2 linked regions of the Elephas maximus indicus genome follow. The protein of the gene in region 1 purifies or fractionates together with the protein of each later gene. This does not show direct contact. Links are inferred from orthologs where the notes say so. Each region holds a gene or a part of one and is shown on either strand. Other genes may lie near its edges.

Region 1 (8,069 bases):
GCAACATAATTATACAACATAACCAGTAATGATTTAAGAAAACAGACATCTGAAAACACCATTTCAACCCATTTGGGTTGAAAAATTCAGATATGACTCATAGTTCTAGATCACTCTACTACCTGCAAAATTGAAAGCAGGTATTTTTTTGTGGAGGAGGGCGGGGGGCTTAAAAAGAAATGACTTAAAGTTTAAGAAACACAACTATTAAAATGTTACAGATCAAAGACACTGAAGGTAGCCAATAAATCTTGTCAAGAGGGCTGGACAAGTGGGATGAGAACTGTTTTCCTCACGCCTCTGGCTAGTAAGTACTCTTGCTTGAGAAATTGTTTTTTTAGCTATGGGAAAAAAAAGTTTAGAATTTAGGAGAAAAAATAAAAGCAGCTAACAAAGCCACTAAGAGGAATCAAAACACTGTATTTTCGCTGTATATAAATAAACTCTTCAGGGAAGAGGCTATGTCCAGATGATAGTGTACCTACTACTTAACATGCTAATGACAGTTAATACTGACACAAGACTTTCATAGTTTGCATTCTAATTTTATAGCCATTATTTCTTTTTTGTTGTTTTTCTGTAATGCTTATTAGTATTTTTAAAAGAGCTTCCTGTCACCTTTAGGCCCTGTCAGCAGCATCGCTAATACTGTATTTATTTCATTAAAAATGTGATAAGCAGCTTAGACTTAAAACCAAAACCAAACCCACTACCATCGAGTCGATTACAGCTCATAGCGCCCCCACAGGACAGAGTAGAACTGCCCCACAGGGTTTCCAAAGGGCGGCTGGTAGATTCGAACTGCTGACCTTTAATTCCAAAGTTATTTCCACTAAACATACTACAACAAAACTTTACTTCTATTTCTGCTAAATTCTGAACTTTTTTCATGACTTAAAAAAATAATTTCAGTCAGAGGCGTGAGGAAAACAGCTTTATCCCACTTGCCCAGTCCACTCAACAAAATTTATTGGGTACATACAGTGTCTCTGACATGTAACATTTTAATGGTTGTATTTCTTAAACTTTAGGTCATTTCTATTTTAAGCCCTACCTACTCCCCTCCCCCCCACGTCAAAAAAAAAAAAAAATCGGCTGCTTCTCTCAATATTGCACGCAGTGGGAAGATCCAAAAACTATGGGTCATACCCATATTCTGAGGGTAACTTTGGATTGTAAATACCATATGCTATTAGTTTTGGTGCAGTGGTTAAGAGCTACGACAGCTGCTAACCAAAAGGTGGCAGTTCGAGTCCACCAGCCATTCCTTGGAAACCATATGGGATAGTTCTACTCTGTCCTGTAGGGTTGCTATGAGTCTGAATGGACTCGACAGAAACCGGGTTTGGTTTTTTGTCATGAGCCGGAATCAACTCGAGGGCGAGTTTTGGTTTGAGCCTACACATATATGGATTCTGTATTGTTTGTTTTAGCACACCTACGAGTTTTTTAAAAATTCACAGACTTGAAGTATTTTTCTAAGAGTCTAAGTTTAACTAAAGAGTCTGTATTAAACTTATCCTTAAAAGCTTTATTAACTAAACCAACGGAGCCCTGATGGCGCAGTGGTTAAGCACTCGACCGCTAACTGAAAGGTCAGCGGTTCGAACCCACCAGCCACTTCGCGGGAAAAAGATGTGGCTGTCAGCTTCCATAAAGATTACAGCCTTAGAAACCCTATGAGGCAGTTCTACTCTGTCTCATAGGGTCGCTATGACTCGGCATCGACTTGACGGCAACGGGTTTGTCTTTTATGGACTATACCACTTGGAACATTCACTTTTGGGTTTACCCACAAAAACGTCCACACCAAGATGAGGAAAGTTTCCTTTGCATTCCCTCAACTGAAATGGGGAAAGAAAGAAAGAAAAAAAAAGGCCAACTGATTAACTGCGTGCAGACCTGCATTTGACGCAGACCCTGACAACCCTATCTCACGTTCAACTTTAGAATCCCCGTGACTAGTAACACACGGGCAGTCAATGAACGCAATCCCTGGGCTTGACACATCACTTCTTCCACCCGCCTCCCCCCACCAATCCGACCCCAAAGCCCCAACTCACAAAACACATGCCTACATTATCTGTTAACTAAGAGAATCGAAACCATAGATAACGGGCCCCCCTACGATGGAAAAATCAAGGCTTCCCCAGCCCTGGGCCTTGGCCTGGTCAGTTCCGCCGCCCTGTCCGCCCGGGCCCGGGCCTGCTCCCTTCCCCTCCGGCGCTCAGCCAGAACTGACAGTTACGGCGGCAGCCAGCGCTGCCACCAGAGGCCTACTGCTGGCACCAGCCCCTCCAGACCAAGCGCCCCCACAACACTCGCCCCGGGGGAGAAGCCCGATCCTCGCCGGAGCCGGCCCGAGGAGGGGCCCAGGGGACGAGAGGCCGGGGCTCCGCTCCCCCCCCGGAGTAGGCCCCTCGGTGGAGACACTGACCTGTCGTCGCCCCCGCGCCTAGGTCGCAGCCCTTGCAGCGGCGGCCGCCTCACTGGTCGTCGTCGCCTTCGCCCGCCGCCTCCGCCCGCCACCGCCTCGTTCCCCTTCGCTGCCGCCACCGCCGGGGCTCATGCGGTACCCGCGCTTCCTTCTACAGACGCCGAGGCCGGCCAGGGGGGGCGCCGGGGTCGCCGAGGACCCCGCGCTCGTCTCCGGCCGCCGCTCCGCTGCTGCCTGTCCGAACCCGGCTGCAGAGCCCGCCTGGCCGGAGCTAGGCCGCGAGCGGGTCGGAGCGGGGACCCGAGGAGGTGCCGAGAGAGGCGCCGCCGCCCGCGGCTAAGAGCGCCGGGTCGACAGAGGTGAAGCGCAGGTTGGCGGCGGGGGCGGTGGCAGGCGCCCAGACCGGCGGCTGGCTGCGCGGCGGCGGAGTGCGCGAGCGAGCGGAGGGCGGGGTGTCAGGATCCTGGCGAAGGCGAAAGGGCCCTGTCGTCTCCCGTAGTCACCCCGAGCCCAGCGCCACCATCTTAGTAGAAACGCGGGTCTCGCGGCTGCGGCGCAAGCTGGGAGGACTAACTGGGCGGGCCAAGTATCCCGGCAGGCAGCGCGCGCCGCCTGGCGGGGCGAAGGTTCCCCGCCCCCCCTCGTCGGACCCGCCCCCCTACCGCTCGCCGTCACCGCTGGCGCAGGGGCCTTTGGGAAGGGGAGGTGGCCCGCGACTCCGCTGCGTCCCACCAGGTTCCGCCGCCATTTTGAGACTGGTTAGTGTGGAAATCGTTTCGTTTGTCAGATGCAGTCTGCGGCCCGATAGAGAGAAGGGCCTACACTCCGGAAACCCTCTCAAGTTCTTGTGGGGGTTTTACAGCCTCTCGTCTACTCAGCCCGGGAACGTGCCAGGACTTGGAGCCCTGATTTTGTTGCGGGGCGAGTCAGCTCCAACGGGCAACCATGGCGGCATGGATAGCCCCCATCTCCGAGGCAAGAGAAAGTGAAGCCTCCGATATTAGGTCTCTGACCCTAACTCCTTTCCTTCCGAGCTGTCTTTGTAAACGTTGCGGGGATGGCCTGAGAATGCGGGCCAGCGTTCAGGGCAACAAGGCCATCTATGTAGTCCTTTTGCTAACCACAGAACGTATCACTAGTTTGCAACAGACAAAAAGGTTGAAGCCTGTCTCCTGCAGTGTCGATATTCAGTAGGTTGTAGATAAAGAAGAGTGGCCTTTTGGTGGGCCCTAGTTGCTGGATAGAAGCTATCCATACAACAACTGAACCCATTTATAACACTGCCTTAATTGAGAATCACATGTAATAGCACGGTCACCATTTTATCTAAAGGGGTTTATTTGTGGCTTTGCAATACTTGATAGAACAGCTGTAGTGGAATCACAATTCATAGTCATATGGCTTGCAGCTTTGCTGATAAGCCCTTACAATACTGTATGAGAGACCCCGTTTATCCAGTATTCTGATTTTTTTATAGCAGTAATACGTAGCAGTGTATTTTTTTGTGGCATTCTTAAAAAGCATCTTTATATATGTATACATATGTGTATATAAAAGAACACCCAAACCTGTTGCTGTCAAGTTGATTCCGAGTCATAGTGACCAGACAGGGCAGAGCAGAACTGCCCCATAGGGTTTCCAAGAGTGCCTGGTGGATTTGAACTGTCGGCCTTTTTGTTAGCAGCCCTAGCTCTAAACCACTACACCACCACCACTCTCTCCACTGCCATCCAGTGGATTCAGACTCAGTGACCCTGTAGGACAGAGTAGAACTGCCCCATAGAGTTTCCAAGGAGCGCCTGGCACATTCGAACCGCTGACCTCTTGGTTAACAGCCATAGCGCTTAGCCACTAAGCCACCAGGGGTAATTAATATGAAGGGGGCTCAATGGTTAAGCACTTGGCTGTTGACCAAAAGGGCAGCAGTTTGAACCCACCAGCAGCTCTGGTTAGAAAAAACCTGGATAACCATAAAGATTACAGCCTAGGAAACCCTGTGGGGCATATAGAGTCACCACGAGGCAGAATAGACTTGATGGCACAGCAGAGCAAGGAGGGCACACCTTGGGTGCATGTGAAGTAGTGATTTATATATTGTATTTTTACCCAAATAGCCGAGGTGGTCTATGTTTGCCAACGGATCTCCCCACATATTTTTGCAAACATGCTTGCTAATTTTTTTACGACAATGTAAAATAAAAATTGATAAAGCACACTTAATACCTGGAAGGTGTGGGGGAGGCGCAGTTGGCAAATGCAAAATTCACAATGTGTTATTTGCCTTAAGGTACTGTATGAGAGGCCTCATTCATCCAGTATTCAGAATTTTTTTATAGCAGCAATCATACATAGCAGTGTATTTTTTTAAGTGGTATTCTTAAAGCGTCTTTTCTTTATATAACTCAGAACCCAACCATTTGCCATCTTGTTGATTCCTACTCATAGTGACTGTATAGGACAGAATAGAACTGCCCCATGGGATTTCCAAGGGGCGCTGGTGGTTTCTAACTGCCAACCTTTTGATTAGCAGCCTAGCTCTTAACCACTGCGCTGTTTTTTTTTAAAGATTTATATAAAGATAGCCAGAGGTAATTAAGGGAGCCTTCTGGGTGTAATGGTTAAGTGCTTGGTTGCTAACCAAAAGGTCAGCAGTTTGATCCCACCAGCAGCTCTGGGGAGAAAAGACCTGGGGATCTGCTTGCATAAGCATAAAGATTAAAAAAAACCAAACCCATTGCCGTCAAGTTGATTCTGACTCGTAGCAACCCTACTGGATGGAGCAGAACTGCCACATAGGGTTTCCAAGGAGCACCTGGTGGATTCTAACTGCCAGCATTTGTGGTTAGCAGCTGTAGCTCTTAAGCACTATGCCACCATAAAGATTACAGCCTAAGAAACCTTACAGGGCAGTTCTACGCTATCCTATAGGATCGCTATGAGTTGAACTCGATGCATAAAAATAATTCATATAAACCCCATCTAACTATAACAACTATGAAAGATTTCATCAGCTATAAAAATAAGCTAGAGAAATTTAAATTGTTCCAGGACTGTTGTTAGTTGCAACCAGTCACTTCCGACTTAAAGTGGCCCCATATGATTTTCTAGGCTGTAATCTTTAGGGAGGAGCACTGGTGGTACAGAGGTTAAAGTACTCAGCTGCTGACCTACCAAAAGGTCGGTGGTTCTAACCCACCAGCCACTGTGAGAGAGAAAGATGTGGCAGCCTGCTTACATGAAGATTTACAGACTGGGAAACCCTATGAGGCAGTTCTACTCTGTCTTATAGGGTCTCTATGAGTCAGAATTGACTCAAGGGCAGTGAGTTTGGTTTTGGGCTTTAGTCAAAATGGGATCCAGTAGTTTCTAATGATTTCCTCATTTCACTGTAAAGTATAAGGAGCAATTTTATTTTTTTAGCATAATGTACTCTTTATACAAACTTTGAGCTTCTACTGTTTATTAAGACCACTATGCCACTAGGGTTTCCTTTTGGTTTTTGGTTTATGCCAGGTCTTGAGAAACAAAAAAAGATGAAAACTCCCTATCCCTGCCTTCAAAAGCTCACAATCCAAGAGGAAGTCACATGTGTACATGGTAAAACTCTGAATACCTTTTTAGAGTAACATAACGCTTCAGGGATTATGGGAGAATCTACTAGTCTTTATCTACTAATATTAATCAAGTTTTTTTTTTTTAAATGAAACACCTTGCCTAAATTGCTAGAAAGTTTTAGTAATTTTCGACAGGGGTCTTTTGATGCTGGGATTTCTTACAGATGGGAGTCACGATAGATGAATCAGAATTTAAAAACAAGTTTATATTACCCGTCCTGGCCCTTGGGATTAGGAATAGTTTCAGTGCATGGAAGAGAAAAGGGTCAGATATGGTGGAGTGAAAGTCACTGTTGCATATATTACTCAGTAATAAAAGCTGTTTTTAGGCTGCATCAAGATATGACATACCCAGTAGCTGAGTAGTTTCCAATATTGAAGAAACATTATTGAAGCAAAATTAGCTCCATGAGGAACATTGTATGACACATGGTAAGTGTTCAATGAATGTAATGCTTTTTGTAGTATTAGTAGTAATATTAGAATTATTAGTATTACGTTCCTGGGTGGCGCAAATGGATTGCGCTCAACTACTAACCTAAAGGTTAGTGTTTCAGATCCACCTAGCCATGCCATAGAGGAAGGCCCTGGCAATCTACTTCCTTAAAGATTACAGCCAAGAAAACCCTATGGAGAAGTTCTACTTTGTAACATACGGAATTGCCATGAGTAGAAATCAACTATAAGGAAATTTTTTATTGGTTTTTATGTTATTATTTAGCATTTTATACTTCAGGTATGAGCTCCTTTATGCCCTGTCATACGCCAAAAATGGGTGTATCAATTTGGCTGGGTCATGATACCCGGTATTGTGTGATTGTCCACCATTTCATCAACTGATGTGATTTTACTATATGTTGTAAATCCTGCTTCTGTAGTGTTAATGAGAGGGATGGGCGGCAGTTGTGTTAGTGAGGCAGGACTCAATGTACAAGATTGGATTGTGTCTTGAGGCAATTTTTTTTGAGATATAAAACAGAGAAGCGAGCAGAGAGACAGGGACCTCATGCCAAGAAGAAAGCAGCACCAGGAGCAGAGTGCGTCCTTTGGGCATGGCGTCCCTGCATCTGAGAAGTTCCTTGACCATCGGAAGATTGAGGACAAGAACCTTCCTCCAGAGCCAACAGAGAGGGAAAGCCTTCCCGTGGAGCTGACACCCTGAATTTGGACTTTTAGCCTACTTTACTATGAGGAAATAAATTTCTCTTTGTTAAAGCCATCCACTTATGGTATTTTTGTTGTAGCAGCACTAGATGACTAAGACACACCTTTACCCTTATTCCTACAAGCCTATCTAAAGCTGCACTCCTCTTTACTTCATGTTTCAAAGTATGAGCCATCCATCTTCGTTGCTAAGTCTAATATCTTTTTTCTTTTTGTCTCCTCCAGACATTGCTCTCTTAGTCATTCCCTCTTCTTTCCATACATTCCCCCTTTCTACTGAATTTATCCCTTCTATTTAGAAAAGTTCTGCTGCTGTTAAGGTTTTCACTGGCTAATTCTTTTTAGAAGTAGACTGCTGGGTCCTTCTTCCTATTTTGTCTTAGTCTGGAACACTTAATTGTGCTCATGAGGAACCTTTACATAGATCAAGAGGCAGTTGTTCAGATAGGACAAGGGGATACTGAGTGGTTTAAAGTCAGGAAGGGTGTGTGTTAGGGTTGTATCCTTTCATAATACCTATTCAATCTGTATGCTGAGCAAATAATCCGAGAAGCTGGATTATATGAAGAAGAATGCAGCATCAGGATTGGACGAAGACTCATTAACAGTGTTATGCAGATGACACAACCTTGCTTGCTGAAAGTGAAGAGGACTTGAAGCACTTACTAATGAAGATCAAAGACCACAGCCTTCAGTATGGATTACACCTCAACATAAAACAAAAATCCTCACAACTGGACCAATGAGCAACATCATGATAAACAGAAAAGACAAGTTGTCAAGGATTTCATTGTACTTGGATCCACAATCAACAGCCATGGAAGCAGCAGTCAAGAAATACAAAAGACACAGTG
Region 2 (7,899 bases), on another chromosome or scaffold:
TAAGTAAATCACAGGCCTCGTGCTCTGCATTGTGGGCCATGTTGTAGGGGACGATCTCCTTCACCAGGGTCAGCAGTGGCTCCCGCTGCGCCTTCTCTGCCTCATCCAGCTCCTGCCACTCCTTTGCCACTTCTCCCGCCAGATGCCTACAAACAGGCCCAGACCATTAAAGGAGCAGAGCACGGGAAGTCCTTCCCTGTGTGGCAAGGAATTCAGTGTTCTGGGAAACTCCGGGTACGCTGGTACTCCATGGCAGAATCACAACTCTACCTCAGACTGTCCCCTCCCTCACACTCCTCAGAAGAAAAGGCCTTACCTGACGTACTCATGACCCCACGATGCCAATTCCTCCTGGGAGCCCACAAGCCGATACTTGAGGCACTCACGCTCCCCACTCATGGTCATGGCCAGAACGGAGATGATGTCAGCTGCAAAACGCTGCAGAGAGACCAGTCCTTTGAGGTCAAATCCAATGGTCCAAGGGAAGGGGAGCATGACATTATGCAATCCAGATCACTGTCACTGCCTCCAAAATTCAGTATTAGCCACATACCAATCTCTGTACTACAAACTTACATGTTATCTAAGCTAAGCCTCACAACGACCTAAGGCTGGTGTCACTATCTTGTTTCTAAACCAACATGGCTAAAGGGTGGGAAACAAGGGTGAGAGTGGAGAAAGCCAGGACTCTGAATTTCAGTCTAATTGCAATAATAATCTATTAGAGAGTCTTAAGCAGAAGACACACAAATCTAGAAGGATCACTTATGGTTCCTATATAATAGACTGCAGGAAGCAGAAAGTTGAAACTGGTTTGTTCTGGTTCAAACCCCAGCTGAGAATCTGAACTTCTACCCCAGATATACCAAATCAGAATCTACAGTTTAACAAGATCCTCAGGTGATTCTTACGCACAATAAACTTTGTGAACCACTGCTCTACTAGTGGTTGTCAGAACTGGTCCCTGACCAGCTGCATCAGCATCACCAGGGATCCTGTTGGAAATGCAAATTCTCAGCAGTGGTTTGAACCTGAAAAGAACTGGTTTGAAGCCCTGGTAGGAGGTCAAGGACAAAGGCCATTTAGGAGGCTGTTGCAGTGGTTCAGGTAAGAACTGGAAGGTTTCCTGGATTATGGTTGTACCAACATGTGGAGAAGTGTTTGAACTGAGAGTATATTTTGAGCTAGAGTAAATGGATGGATATGCGATATAAAGGAAATTAAAAAAAGAACAAACTTAAACATAACAACTAAGTCATACTAATGAAGCCTCAGGGTCCAACATAAATGACAGAAAGTGTCTAATGAAAAATTTATTCTCCTCTTTCAGCTCTCTTGGGGGTATTTTGGCTGTGATGAGCTTTGTTAACTAACCCAGGTCTTAGTCTATCAGGCTTCCAGTGTTAATCATGAGCCCCAAAGCCTAGATAAAAGAATTCCTAAACTAGACCTCCACCAGCTTCTGAGATAGTTTTACCTTATTCTCTCCAGGGTCCATGTTCTCATAGATTTCCTTCAGTTTGCCATAGTGTGGACGCAGAAATTTTAGAGGCTTGGGCACTGAAGTCATAGATGTTGTAGAGGAACGAATCTGCCTTCTCAGCTCTTCCAGAGCTGGTCGGTATAAGGACGTGTCCTTCTCCTGATTCAGGATACGTTAGGATTCAGACAAAGAGGATTCACATCTCTCCAAGACATAATAAACGCGTTGCCGTCGAGTCGATTCCAACTTATAGCAACCCACAAAGGACAGAGAACTGCCCTACACGGTTTCCAAGGAGTGGCTGGTAGATTCGAACTGCTGACCTTTTAGTCAGCCCCTGAGCTCTTAACCACTGTACCGCCAGGGCTCCCCAAGTCATAACATGGAGATGTGAAATTACAACTCTTCTAAAAAAGTAACTATCTCATTTATCTTTGATTCCCCAACTCCCTGCACAGTGCCCTCACAGAAACACAAATGACCCCAGTTAAGAGCTCAACGGCTCTACTTCTCCGACAAGACAAAACTACATAATTTTTCATGTATTATTTGCAATTCTTCCCCTCACAACACTATCACAACCAACCAGACCAAACTCACTGCCATCAGGTTGATCCCGACTCACAGCAACCCTATAGAATAGAGCGGAACTGCTCCATAGGGTTTCCAAGGAGCGGCTGGTGGGTCTGAACTGCCAACCTTTTGGTTAGCAGCCAAGCTCTTAACCACTGCACCACCAGGGCTCCATCATCACAACAATCACCCTGAAATACAGTCTACTTTTCCTCACACTTCACATATCAGCTATGGCCTCAAATGGAAAAAAGCAGACAAATGGGGAAGATCCTAACGCCCTCACCCGCTCAGGATAACGTCCTGACTCACCCCCAGTCGCTCCACGAGCATCTCCAGTTCATCCTGAAGTTGTCTGTCCTCCTCAGACTGCAGGGTTGGGGGAAGAAGCTCATCAACACAAGCAATCCCAATCATCCTCCTCCCATTCACCCTGGGACAGGTGGTGAGAGCCTGCCGCCTCAGGAGGGACCAGGTGGACCAGAAGAGCGGGAACGGGGAAACCTGGTGGGAAGGCACCTTGGCTTCTGGGCCAGGCTGTCTGAACGCCGTTCTCTGAAATGTGGGCGACAGTGACCCGCCCGACCCCAGCTCGCGGGGCGGTCGCGAGGGCTGGCGGGGACCGCAGAGATGACAGCGCGGGGTGGGGGAGGTGGGGCAGAGAGCGGGGGGCCAAGAGCCCCGAGGGTCGCCCCATCCGCCCTCTCCAGGGCGCCGCGGGGCCGTTGGGAGTAGGGCCCGAGGCCTGCGGGGCCGCCGTGACTCAGCCCGTGGCCTCCTCGGCTGGCTCCCGGAGCCGTGCCTCACCAGCTCCTGCTCTTTGTCCTTGTCCCCAGCATCCCGCCGCTCCTTGCCGCTCTGCTTCTCGTCCGCGCTGCCTGGAGTTGTCACTGGGGGCTGCTGGGGCAACGGCCCCTTGTCCCGGCCACCCTCCTCCATCGCTCACCAGCCAGACCTGCCACCGCCGCCGCCGGCCCACTGCGCGCGCACCCGCTCGCACCGCCCCCATCTCCCAGGAGGCCTCGCGCGCGTCGGCCGATGTGCTCCTCCTCCAGACTCGCGAGCGACCGGAAACGCAACGCGAACCTAGGATCTCCTCCTCCTCCAGAGCCCGCCTCCGACCGGAAACACCGCGGGGAGCCTCGGTGCTCATCCTCCTCCCGAGCACGCCTGCGACCGGAAACGTGACGGCGAGCGCCATCCCTCTGACCCCGCCCCCGGAAGCCAGATGAAAAACTACCATCCCCAGCATCCCCCGCGCCGAGGATGTGGCCCGAATCCGGCCCTCGGAGCTCCCTGGACGCCGGGGTGTAGGCTACCGAGATTTCCTTGCCGTTAGGTTTCCTTTTAGCAGTATAAATAGTCCAGACAGTGACACCGCACTTGACTGCGTGGTCCGACAAGCAGCCAAGATTTTGAAATCGGGGACCCTTGATTGTCATATATGTAAAGTTTCTGTAGTATATGTCTAGCCCCCAGTTGAAGGAGAGTGTGCTAACGAGGCGCTCCTTGGAAACTATGGGGCAGCTCTACTCTGTCCTATAGGATGGCTATGAGTCAGGGTTGACTCGACGGCAAAGGGTTTGGTTTTTGGTATTGGGGTGAAGAAGAAATCTATAAAAATCCTATGCTGCACTGCCAAGTTCTGGAGCTAAAAGCGGAGCAAGACAAGGTCTTTGTTCTCAGTCTGGCGTGTGGTTTCCCTCCTCCTTATTGTGACTTGGAAGGGGTGTAACTGACACTATCAGGAGTACTTTTAAGTGATCACGTGTAGTTCTCATAAACTTTTGAGATTGATACAGTTGTGTCCATTTTACAGAGGAAACTAAGGCTCAGAAATATAGTAACAATCAGACGTCATGTAATAAGTAGTAAGATCAGGATTTGAACTTTGATCCTTCTATCCTCCGAGCCCTTGACTGCTTCAGGCAAACCCCAAAGTTTCTTCTTCAGCTTGGCCATGTGTGGGCCATGTGTGTGGTCTAGAAGTTGAGAAAAAAAGAAATAACTCTTCATCTGGTAGGAGCACTCACCATTTAACCTGGAGTCTTATTTTTTGGATTCTGATGAATTAAAGGAGCCCTGGTGGTGCAGTGGTTAAGAGCTCAGCTGCTAACCAGAAGGTCTGCAGTTCAAATCCACCAGCCACTCCTTGGAAACTCTATGGGGCAGTTCTACCCTGTCCTGTGGGGTCACTATGAGTCAGAATTGACTCGATGGCAACAGGTTTGGTTTTTGTTTATTTTTGGATGCATTGAAGAACACAGAAAATGTTTGAAAAAAACAAAAACACCTAGCACAGGATAAAAAAAAAAAAATAGCACTAAATGGGTGTTGGCCAAACACCTATATAGATTTAGATATAAGGGTTTGAAATCCATTTTGCTGTTTTCCCTTCAGTGTTTGGGCTTTAGAGATGATCTTCCATTTCTATTGGCAATGACTCCCCCAGCCCTGGTCTGTTGACAGAAGTTGGGCAACTCATAGCTCTTCTGCCTATTCCAGCTCTGGCTTCCAGATGTCTATACATTATTATGCATTCTTCAGTCATCTGTAGAAGGATTTCTCTTAAGTAACTCCTTTTTCCATGACTTCTATCAGACCTTGGATTTTATCCTATGTACCAGTCATTTCCCAACCAGCACCCTCTAGAAGAGGGGGGTGATGTTGTAGCAAAAAGCACAGGCTGTTAACAGTTGGTGAAACCAGATGAAGATTATATGAATGTTTCTTGTACTATGTTTCAACTTTTCTGTAGTTTTGAAATGTTTCAAAATAAAAAATTGGGCATAGAGAGGGAAACAGAAGTTTAGAGACAAACAGACCTAGTGTTTAAAACCAAATTCTGCCATTCACCAACTGTGAGACTTAGGCAAATTACCTAGCCTCTCTGAGCGTGGTTTTTGTCTCTGTAAAATGTGGGTGATAAATTATAAAAAAAAAAATGAGACAATGTATACAAAGTGGGGTCTTGGTGAACGTGGCGCAGTGGTTAAACGCTTGGCTGAGAACTGAAAGGTCGGTAGTTCGAATCCACCAGCAGCTCTCTGGAAACCCTATAGGGCAGTTCTACTCTGCCCCATAGGGTCACTATAAGTCAGAATCGACTGGATGGCAACAGGTTTGGTTTTTTTTTAAAGTACGTAGCTGGGTGCCTGGCAGTTAGATAGGAGGCTGGTTGTCATTGTATTTTCCAACTACCTCAAATCTGCATGTTATGAATTGTGTTCCACAAAAATCTGTGTTATATATCCTAATGTCTATGCCTGTAATTATAATCTCATTTAGGAATGGGTTGTCTTAGTTATGTTAATGGAGCATGATTAATATAAGATGTGTTTTGAGTCAATCCCTTACAAGATATAAAAGGAGCAAGCTGACATGGGGGAAGATAGATGCCAAGCCACGTGGAGCACTCCAAGGAACCAGGAAGCAGAAGCTGAAGAGACAAAGACCTTCCCCCAGAGCTGACAGAGAAAGAAAGCCTTCCCCTAGAGCCAATGCCCTGAATATGGACTTCTAGCTTTCTAAACTGTGAGAAAATAAATTTCTGTTTGTTAAGGCTACCCAAATGTGGTATTTCTGTTATAGCAGCACTAGATAACTAAGACACACTGTTTCCATTGGGTTTCTTTAGTGTGGTATTTTTTAGTCAGATTGTACTGTAGCCCTTCTTACTGTCAATTCTCAGAACTGAGAGCATGTTACGGTCTCCTCTTTTTCATACCTGCACCTACTACCCTTTTCAAGACTCTCAGCTTTCAACATGCCTCTTTGACTCACCCTCCTTCTGATCATCCTAAACATTTGACTGTTTCTGAACATGCCCTGCCTTCGAAGCTGATCCAACTTTTCACATTGCTGTTCCTTCTGTATGGAATGCCCTTTGCTGTTTTCAGATAGCAAATTCTCCTGTCCTCTAAGCTCCAACTCAATGACACCTATCTAGGAAGCTTTTCCTTCCCTGTCAGACCAAGTTGGTCATTTCTTCTCTGCTCCCACCATATTGTTGTTGTTAGTTGCCTTCAAGTCAATTCCAACTCACAAGGACCCCAAGTATGCAGAGCAGAACTGTTCCATAGGAATTTCAAGGCTGTAACCTTTTGGAAGCAGATTACCAGGCCTTATTTCTAAGGAGCCTCTTGGTAGGTTTGAACCGCCAGCCTTTCTGTTAGTAGTGCCTCGCTTAACCATTTGTGTCACCCAGGGGACTCCTACTGTACTTGGTAGGTAGTTCTCCTGCCCTAGATGCTGAGCTCCTGGAGGACAGGAACTGTGTCTTATTCATCGTTGTGCTTTAGCATCCATCATGATGCTTGGTTTGTGGTAGGCCTCAACAAATACTTGTTGGATGAATGAATGAGTGGCTTTGCATTCATCTTTAGGTCATCTTTGTGTAATAATAACCTATCAGGGGCACTCTTTGGAGTCCACAGCTGAGCACTGGGGAATTGTCTTCAGGATTGGTGAGCCAGGACAGACCCACTGAACCTGTGCTGACTTCATGGGGGACTGTTCCAGCCTAACATTTCCAGAGTGCTGCCAAGGATAGAATGACACTGCTCGGCATATGTCACTTTATCTTGCATGAGACTTAGTGAAATTTCCTCAAGGGACAGGGCAGGGTATGGCCTAGCACTGTACAGTTGTTCACATGTGTCCATCCAGGACCACCATCCTTCGTTCCCCCTTCTGCCTCAGCACACTGGAGCATTTCGCTGATGAAAATTCATCAGCCTGTGAGGGCTTCTGAAGGTGAAGGTTGCATCTCTCACCTGATGTTCACCTTGCCTTGCTCCTGGAACCATGCATGCTCAGAGTCCTCAATCAACAGGTGCCACCTGCTAACCCTATGGGATAGTACTACTCTGTCTTACAGGGTCGCTATGAGTCCAAATCAACTCAATGGCAACAGGTTACCTGGCTTAATTTCAGCTCCAAATGGGCTTAGGTTTTCTGCAGCTGCCTGGTTGTCACAAGTGCGTGGCCCAAGGGAGCTATGTGGCACGGTAGTGCGCTTGTTGGTGGCAGTCCTACTCAGAAGCTGGTGCAATTTCCCCAAAGACAGATGTCTATGCTTGAGCCCAAAGTCTGTCAAGAGTCAGAAGACTGAGCGATGGCAATTAAAAGCATTTGGACGTGAGTTCCAAACCTGACTTTAATGAATCAGTCCTGACACTGGAAGTTTGGTAACCTTTTTTGTTAGTTCTGTCCCATGTAAAATGGAGACATCAATAGAACTTACTTATAAGTTGTTGTGGGAATTTTATGAGAATATTATTTTTAAAGTACTTAGCACAATTTTTTTTTTTTTTTTAGCACAGGCTTAAGCAAAACTGGGACTCAGTGAGTGAAAGTTGCTGCTCCTTATTTTATGCTTAGCATTATTTGACATCTTGGAAACCCTGATGGCATAGCAGTTAAGAGCTATAGCTACTCAAAAAAGGTCAACAGTTCAAATCCGCCATGTGCTCCTTGGAAACTCTATGGGGCAGTTCTACTCCATCCTGTAGGGTCAGTATGAGTCAGAATTGACTCAACAGCAATGGGTTTGGTTTTTGACCTCTTGACCTTTTTACAAATATGGAGCTTGAAGACCACATTGGTGTCAAATGGCGAGTGGGGGGTATGGCTAAGCTGGCCCCTGAAATCAGTGTCAAGGGAAGGGTAAGGCTTATCCTGCCAAGCAAGCCCCTTTGCTCAGTCATAAATGCCCTCTGGCATTTTAAATCCCATCCTCTGTGTAACACCCAAACTTCAGAAGTCTTAATTCTTAATCTCTCTTCAGGTTCTGGAATTTGCCAAGCCCATGAATCCTCCTCTTAAAACATTATAAAGTTGGA

The links.
Region 2: the proteins of UBE3A (region 1) and PSMD2 purify together in Homo sapiens (affinity purification with mass spectrometry; 4 studies listed by BioGRID and IntAct, with this or other methods). This does not show direct contact. The link is inferred for Elephas maximus indicus from reciprocal best matches to the Homo sapiens genes UBE3A and PSMD2.

The regions. Positions count from the first base shown.
Region 1 is NC_064831.1:101,130,604-101,138,672, forward strand, and holds the start of UBE3A (ubiquitin-protein ligase E3A), read right to left. Parts: upstream 3,024-8,069; 5' UTR 2,438-3,023; intron 1-2,437. UniProt on the Homo sapiens protein: E3 ubiquitin-protein ligase which accepts ubiquitin from an E2 ubiquitin-conjugating enzyme in the form of a thioester and transfers it to its substrates.
Region 2 is NC_064819.1:30,790,857-30,798,755, forward strand, and holds the start of PSMD2 (26S proteasome non-ATPase regulatory subunit 2), read right to left. Parts: upstream 3,055-7,899; 5' UTR 2,996-3,054; coding exon 2,864-2,995; intron 2,426-2,863; coding exon 2,369-2,425; intron 1,643-2,368; coding exon 1,478-1,642; intron 439-1,477; coding exon 317-438; intron 147-316; coding exon 1-146. UniProt on the Homo sapiens protein: Component of the 26S proteasome, a multiprotein complex involved in the ATP-dependent degradation of ubiquitinated proteins.